Daphnia pulex: one gene and its partner. The protein of the gene in region 2 interacts with the protein of the main gene of each other region in a pairwise test. Links are inferred from orthologs where the notes say so. Each region holds a gene or a part of one and is shown on either strand. Other genes may lie near its edges.

Region 1 (2,604 bases), on a different chromosome or scaffold from region 2:
CCGCAATAACTCCTAACAACTGAAAATCCATGGCTTTGGGCGTGTTTTTGAATAACAGCCCCAACATCGCGATACTTAACACCTGGCTTCACTATAGAGAATGAGGGAAAAAAATGACGCATGAAGAGTTTATCGGTAAACAAATAACTGAAAGCGCGAAGCTTACAAACCTATTTCGATCGCTTTTTCTAGACATTCCCATGTGACTTGCACTAGCCTCTTGGCAGACTCGCTAACCTGACCAACGAATAAGGTTTCATTCAGGTCACCATGAAATCCTCGGTGGTAAGCCGTTACATCAACTAATGAATAAAATCTTTTTAATAAACAAGGATAACACAAACATTTTTAACAAATGAATTATTATTACTGTTGCATATATCCCCATTTTGCATGGGTCTCTTATCAGGGATACCATGGCAGATAACCTCATTGATAGAAGTGCAACAGGATTTTGGGAATTCATAATAATTTAATGGTGATGGATAGCACTCCCGCTCAATGCAGGCTTCATGGACAATCCTATCAATCTCATCTGTTGTGACCCCTACGGCCACAGCATTTGCTGCTTCTTCCAAGATTTCTCTACCAAGCTGTAAATAATATTAGTCAATTGCAAATTTCATAATGGGCAACAATTGATTACCTTGCTGACAACTCTCATTCCTTCTTTCTCTTCATCACTTAAAGCCTTAATATAGGAACTTCCTCTAGCAGACTGTTCTCCAAGTGGATGTCCTTCAGGATGATCAGCATAATCTGGTCTAGCAATGTGTGTAGGGATGGTGCGTTTGGGGGTCTGAGGATATGGACGTAAAGTACCTAAAAAAAAAACTATAGATAGAGATAATATCCCAACACAAAATAATTTCACATACCGGTAAACGGGAAACCAGGCCAAGGATTGTACGCGACGGGCTCTGTCACTGTTTCTTTCTTGTGGACACTCTTATGCACATTCCAGTTTTTTTTGAAACATTCTTGTGTACAAAAGAACGATCCTTTAATGCCCAGTTTAATGCAAGTCGGGCATTGTAACCGGGCTTCTTGGTCACAACCTGGGGTTTCACAAAGAGCTCCTGCAGACATTATTTTCAAACACTTCGCACTTCAATCTTCAAGGCGATTGTTCGTCAATTCGTGTTCGATTCAGGATAGTCGTCTGCAAAGTTATCAGCACTAAACAACCAAACTATGACGTCATTTCACTTCCCCTTGGTGGCTTACAAAATTTTCGATCGTTTATAATGATTATCAAAATAAACATTAATCAGTTCAAAAATTAAAACAATTAAAACTTAATTTAAATAAAATTTTAGACATTAATACTTTCATAGCGATTTTTATAAAATGTGTGGACTCTGTTTAGTTTAGTCATGCTCTCCTCCCAAATTCCAAAATTGTCTTCTGCTGGTGTCACTTTTATAGTCCTGCCGGTTGTAATTCATTGACCCGTAATAATATTTAAAAAATGGCAAAACAAGGACAGATGGATCTTGAACTCAAAAAGGTTATTATTTTTAGTATTTTTGTCTTATTTTGACATCACATATTCATTCCATTATGACTGTTTTCAGGCATTTGCTGAACTACAGCAAAAAATGGTCGAGACGTCTCAAAAGCTCAAATTAGCTGATCTACAGATCGAGACGCTCAAAAGAAGTATGACACATGCACAACTAACTGACAAAGAAATAAGTCAACTTCCAACTGATACCAAAACGTATGAAAGTGTGGGTCGTATGTTTGTATTAAAAGAAGTAACTGTAGCACGAACGAACCTTGAGAACAAAATCAAAGGCTGTGAGGAGAAAGTGAAAACACTTGAGGTTAGATTTACATTAAATTTAATTGTGCATTTTTGTTTACATTTTTTTCTAATTTCTGTTCAATTAAAAAGGGAACTAAAGCATACTTGGAGCGCAGCTTGAAAGAAAGTGAGAACAACATTAGAGAAATGATCCAACAAAGAAAAGATGCTAACACTGGGGATCAACATTGAAGATTAAATGTTTTTTTGCCTACTTGGATACTTGTCTATGCTTTTTTTGTTCGTTTCCATCGATTTTTATGGGGAAACCAAAATAAACTGCTTAAAATACTACGTGGTTAGATTTTTACATAATAGATGGCCAAGGCAAAAGTCGTCTGCTGACCTTGGAGAAAAACTTCAATAACACAGAAAGAGCTGAAGTGAGAGTAAAAACAGTGATCAACAACAAGTTGGGTTTAAGAGACCTTTCGTTTTCAATTTTTGGCCTTGAATAAATCTTATTTTCTAAGGATGCTGACTGGCATCAAAAGGTAGGAATGAAATGAAATTAATTTTAAAAGATGTTATAAAGCAAACATGACGTCGATGTTCGATGACTCCATCGACTTCATTGTAAAAAAAATTGTTTTATTTTCTTGTTGTGTGTGTGCACAATTTGAACAGTTTGAACATGATAGGAATTTTATTTACACCTGTGATCTATTAGTCTTCACAACTTTGTAGTAAATTTAATAGTTTTGGTCTAAATTGCTGTTTATAGTTTAGACATATCAGACTTCATTGGATCTTCTTAGTTAATTTCAGGGGTGAACTAGTGAAAGAAGAGCTGT
Region 2 (4,398 bases):
ACTTCATCCGCGACAGCGACAAGCAGACGCTGTAAAATTATCAATGCAGTAAAAGAGGGAAGGGGAAAATGTCAGATCAGCCATTTAAAAATTAAAATCAGTTTATTGGGATGGGTATAAATAAGAAAGAAAGTTAAATATAGTAGAATTTTTTTAATTTATTGGATTTGATGGTTTTATAGCATCAACCCTTTATTTACTGTGTATCAATTTTTTAACTTACCGAGATTCCGTGACTCTGAACAGTAATTACAAATATGACCACTACGCAATATTTGCACTAGTCGACACAGAGCAGACGACACAAAAATTGAAAACGCAGAAAAGCGCGTTTGTAATTGTTCTAAAATCTTGACTCTTGACTTTTGATTTTTTTTTTTCATAAAAAGATTAGAATTTTGAATTGGGAATTATAATAGCTATGCCACCTAAAAAAGCAGCAGCTGCTGGTACATATAGTTTGATTAGTTTCCTTGTGAAATAGTTGTGTTTTTTAAATATTTGTTTACACCTAAAAGGATATGTCAGAATTCAGAAGTTTCTACTACTGTGAAAATAAGCGTTTATAAAGTTTCATTGACTATTTAGGAAAGTCGAAAGGTGCTGGAGGAGGAGGAGGAGATGATGACAAGGGTAAAGACAAAAAAGGAGGAACTGGGAGTACGATTAAGGTAAAATAAGATATATTTCAATAAAATAAGATTATGTTTTTAAATATTATTCTTGCATAGGTTAGACACATTTTGTGTGAAAAGCAATCAAAAATTCTAGAAGCACTTGAAAAGCTTAAAGCTGGTATGAAATTCAATGAAGTTGCTGCAACATACAGTGAGGATAAAGCAAGATCAGGAGTAAGTGTTAATCAATGTGTTAATCAAGTATTATGCTAATTGCTTATTACATTTTTTATTGTATATTAAAATAGGGGGACCTTGGATGGATGGTTAGAGGATCTATGGTTGGCCCTTTTCAAGAAGCTGCCTTTGCTCTACCAATTTCATCATTGGGTAATCCTGTCTACACAGATCCACCTGTTAAAACTAAATTTGGGTACCACATTATAATGGTAGAAGGGAAAAAATAAAAAAAATAAAAACAACATATTGTTACATGAATTAAAATTGCATTTTTCATGGTTTCTTCTAAATTCACTTTTACTATAAGTCAAAAAGCTAATTGAATTTCTTTTATGAATTAAACATTCATAAACATCCAAGATTATCCAAATTGGATCATCCAATGCAGGGTTAAATGTGATAGGCCTACATATCAGATGTAGATCATTCTGACTGGCATCTATATTGATTATACAAATTGTGAACAAATTTAAATAACAAATATGTTGAAATCTTTGGAAAATAGCAAAATATTCTTTCGAATTACATGAACAACATATGCTGGTGGTTGATTTTGCTCTAAATCTAAAATCTTTCACTTTCAAGTTATACAATAAACAAATTAGGAATTTATTTTCTAATGTTAGCCGAGCTCTGGATTAAAAGGAATGAGTTAATTTTCGAAACATTTTCCAAGAAAATTTGGGATTTGGCACAAAATGTGTTCACGTTATCTGATGGATGCTGTTTAACAAGAACTACTACTTGAGTCATATTTGTCGTCTGTTGTCCCTTAATTACTCCGAGACTACAACAGTGGCAGGAATATTTTCTTCCATCATTTGAAGATCCAAGGAAAAGTTAGATCATTTTTCAGGAATGTGGAAGGCACCAGTTAGAATTTGTTCTCAGTCGAAGGTATCATTGCAAAACGGAAGACAAATTATCCGCCGGAACATAAACAGCCGAAAATCAAATCAAATGTAACCGGTGTATTTTTTTCGTAAGTTGTTTTTATACCAGATGCTGTAATAATTTCATTTGTAGATCTGGAAGCAAAATTTTAACCATTGGTGGAGCTGCTATTCTAGCAACTGTTGGTGGTTCTGTTGTCTTAGCCAAAACAAGTGATGGTTTTAGGAAATTTTCTGAAAAAAATATTCCTGGAACCTCATTTCTGTTCAATTTACTACTGGGACCTTCAGTTTCCCATTTACCAAAACTTGAGCATCCTGTCAAGTATAATCAGTTTTGTTTCTAGACTTTTATTGATTATTTATTTAAACTTATTTGCTTCAGAGTAAAGGAAGATGGACTTTTAAAGAAAAAATTGGAACGAGAAGCACTCAAGAAAAAAGATGGTAGATAAACATTTGAATTATTTTCTTGTACATTTGGAGCAATTTTTTTCTCTCCTAGATGAGCTGCCCATCAATCCTGTGGAAGAATCAAGCCCACAAGAGCTACCCATATCCTCAATCGATTTACCACCCCCAGACTTCGATGTCATAAAATCTGTGGAAGAATTTTGTGACAATGATCAATCAAGTGTTGAAGAATCTTTAAATTTAGACCCAGAAGTAAACTGTTTTTTATTTTATTTGCTTATACCTTATGTTTGACTTCCAAATTGCATTCAGGTAAAAACAGATGAAAATATTAAAGTAGTAAATGAATCTGAACCTGATAGTTCAGCTGTAGAGGTGAGAAACTTTCAGATTTGTACATCAAAACTTCAAAAAACAAAAATCTTTAGTTATTTTTCCTATAATTTAGGTTCTCGAAAAAGTTGCAGTTAATTTATCAGAATTAACTCCCGCCGAATTTGGGGACTTGCTTAAGGAATTTCATGCCAAAGCTTCTGACGCTGTTAAAGAAGCTGTTGCAGCCCAAGATATGGCTGCATGCTCCATCAAAAGTAACCGTCTCCTAAATAATCAGACTAACAATTATTTTATATTATTTTATCTTTTGTAGAGCATGTTGAATTGGTCTTCAAGTCACTAGAAAAGATTTACGAGCCTGGTCAAACACATGAAAATATTTGGGAGCCGGTCTTCATGGCGACACACGATAAAAATGAAGCTGTGCATGTTGCCGAGTCTCGAGCTCATGATGCCAGAATGGCCGTAGCTCAGCTGAAAGAAGCTGTAGCTCATGGCTTAAAGAATGACCAAAGTATACAAACACCTGACCTAATTACTTTTGACGAAAGCGTTGCCCGTGCTCTCTATAGGTACGTATTTGTGAATGTTGCTTCAAAACCTCCAGTGGCTATAATGTTTGGTATTTAGTTTGGAAACTGCAAAAGCACGAGTTGAAGCGGCTCAGTCTGAAGCCAAAGTTATGGATGAATATCGTGAACTTGTTGATACTGCTAGGCACAACTTGCAGGTAACAAATTGAATATTTATCAAAAATTTATAACTTCAACGTCTTTGGTTTGCATTATTCAAGATGGAGTTATCTTCCATTCGTCCTGAATTGGCACCCAGTTTTAAAACCGAAGGTTCCAAGTTGGGTGAAGAGGAAATCAATATTTTGATGGCCCATGCCTATTGGAAGATAATAACGTTGCAAAAAGAACTAGCCAGGCAACAGGTTAGTTTAAATGTTTTTTTTTTTTTGTTTTTTGTTTTTTTACAAAAATTTACAGCAATTAAAATTTGTATATCTAGTCTTGTGAGCAGCAGCGCCTGAAAGGAGCTTTAGATACCCAGAGAAAAGAAGACCATTCGGTTCTGGAATCCCGTTTACGAGTCGAATTGGAAAGACAATACTACGAACTAAAAGCGAAATATAATCAAGATGTGAGTTATACCGCCCATTATTGTTTAAACAAATCATTCCATTAATGTGTGTGTCGATTTCTTTAACAGATTTCGTTTCATGAAAAAACCTTGTCGGATCAGTTTACTCAGCAGCTTAAACTCCAAGCTGCTGCTTATACTGATCACTTAAATGACACTCTAAAGACGCAACGTCTAGAACTAAAGCGAACATTTGATGCTGAACGTGAACTAGAAGTCGCAAAGTTGTTGGCGTCCCATCATGAAAACCTGGCGAAGCTTCACGGAATGGGCAAAGGAATTCAAGACGCGATCCATGACCGCGCCGAAAAGGACCGAGTTTCTCGTCAAGTTCGTGAGCTATGGATTGCAGCTCAATCGATGATCGAGTCCCTGCGCAGTAACAATTCAGTCCATTTGCCATGGAATGAGCAACGCCACCCTCTCAATCTGAGTAGTTTGAACAAAGCACTAAACAACAATGATGAATTTGCTCTGGCAGTCATCGAATCCATCCCACCAACCGCTCTAGATCAAGGAATCCTTCCCCAAGGTGCTCTGAAGGTAACGCCCTGAAATATTTTCTTGTTGAAGTATTTTTTACGTTTAAATTTTACTCTTTTTTTTTCAGGAACGTTTCTTGAATGTTGAAAGAGTTTGTCGACGTGTAGCTCTGATTGATGAGAATGGTGGATCGATCCTTCGTTATGCGCTCTCTTATTTGCAGGTTGATTTTTGTTTTTTTGTTTTTTCCTTTCATACAACAACTGTAA

What was found. The genes of interacting proteins can lie anywhere in the genome.
Region 1: the proteins of MICOS complex subunit MIC60-like (region 2) and prefoldin subunit 1-like interact in a two-hybrid assay, tested with the Homo sapiens proteins (2 studies listed by BioGRID and IntAct). The link is inferred for Daphnia pulex from reciprocal best matches to the Homo sapiens genes IMMT and PFDN1.

What each region holds. Positions count from the first base shown.
Region 1 is NC_060021.1:7,365,868-7,368,471, forward strand, and holds prefoldin subunit 1-like, read left to right. Parts: upstream 1-1,359; 5' UTR 1,360-1,471; coding exon 1,472-1,510; intron 1,511-1,577; coding exon 1,578-1,829; intron 1,830-1,900; coding exon 1,901-2,002; 3' UTR 2,003-2,104; downstream 2,105-2,604. Other genes in the region: methionine aminopeptidase 1-like, read right to left, coding at 1-91, 171-302, 371-593, 647-822, 879-1,089. UniProt on the Homo sapiens protein: Binds specifically to cytosolic chaperonin (c-CPN) and transfers target proteins to it. Binds to nascent polypeptide chain and promotes folding in an environment in which there are many competing pathways for nonnative proteins.
Region 2 is NC_060018.1:5,994,465-5,998,862, forward strand, and holds the start of MICOS complex subunit MIC60-like, read left to right. Parts: upstream 1-1,587; 5' UTR 1,588-1,715; coding exon 1,716-1,819; intron 1,820-1,883; coding exon 1,884-2,075; intron 2,076-2,135; coding exon 2,136-2,197; intron 2,198-2,255; coding exon 2,256-2,416; intron 2,417-2,476; coding exon 2,477-2,539; intron 2,540-2,612; coding exon 2,613-2,754; intron 2,755-2,813; coding exon 2,814-3,072; intron 3,073-3,130; coding exon 3,131-3,230; intron 3,231-3,293; coding exon 3,294-3,437; intron 3,438-3,514; coding exon 3,515-3,646; intron 3,647-3,715; coding exon 3,716-4,189; intron 4,190-4,256; coding exon 4,257-4,352; intron 4,353-4,398. Other genes in the region: peptidyl-prolyl cis-trans isomerase NIMA-interacting 4-like, read left to right, coding at 422-449, 589-671, 732-851, 926-1,084. UniProt on the Homo sapiens protein: Component of the MICOS complex, a large protein complex of the mitochondrial inner membrane that plays crucial roles in the maintenance of crista junctions, inner membrane architecture, and formation of contact sites to the outer membrane.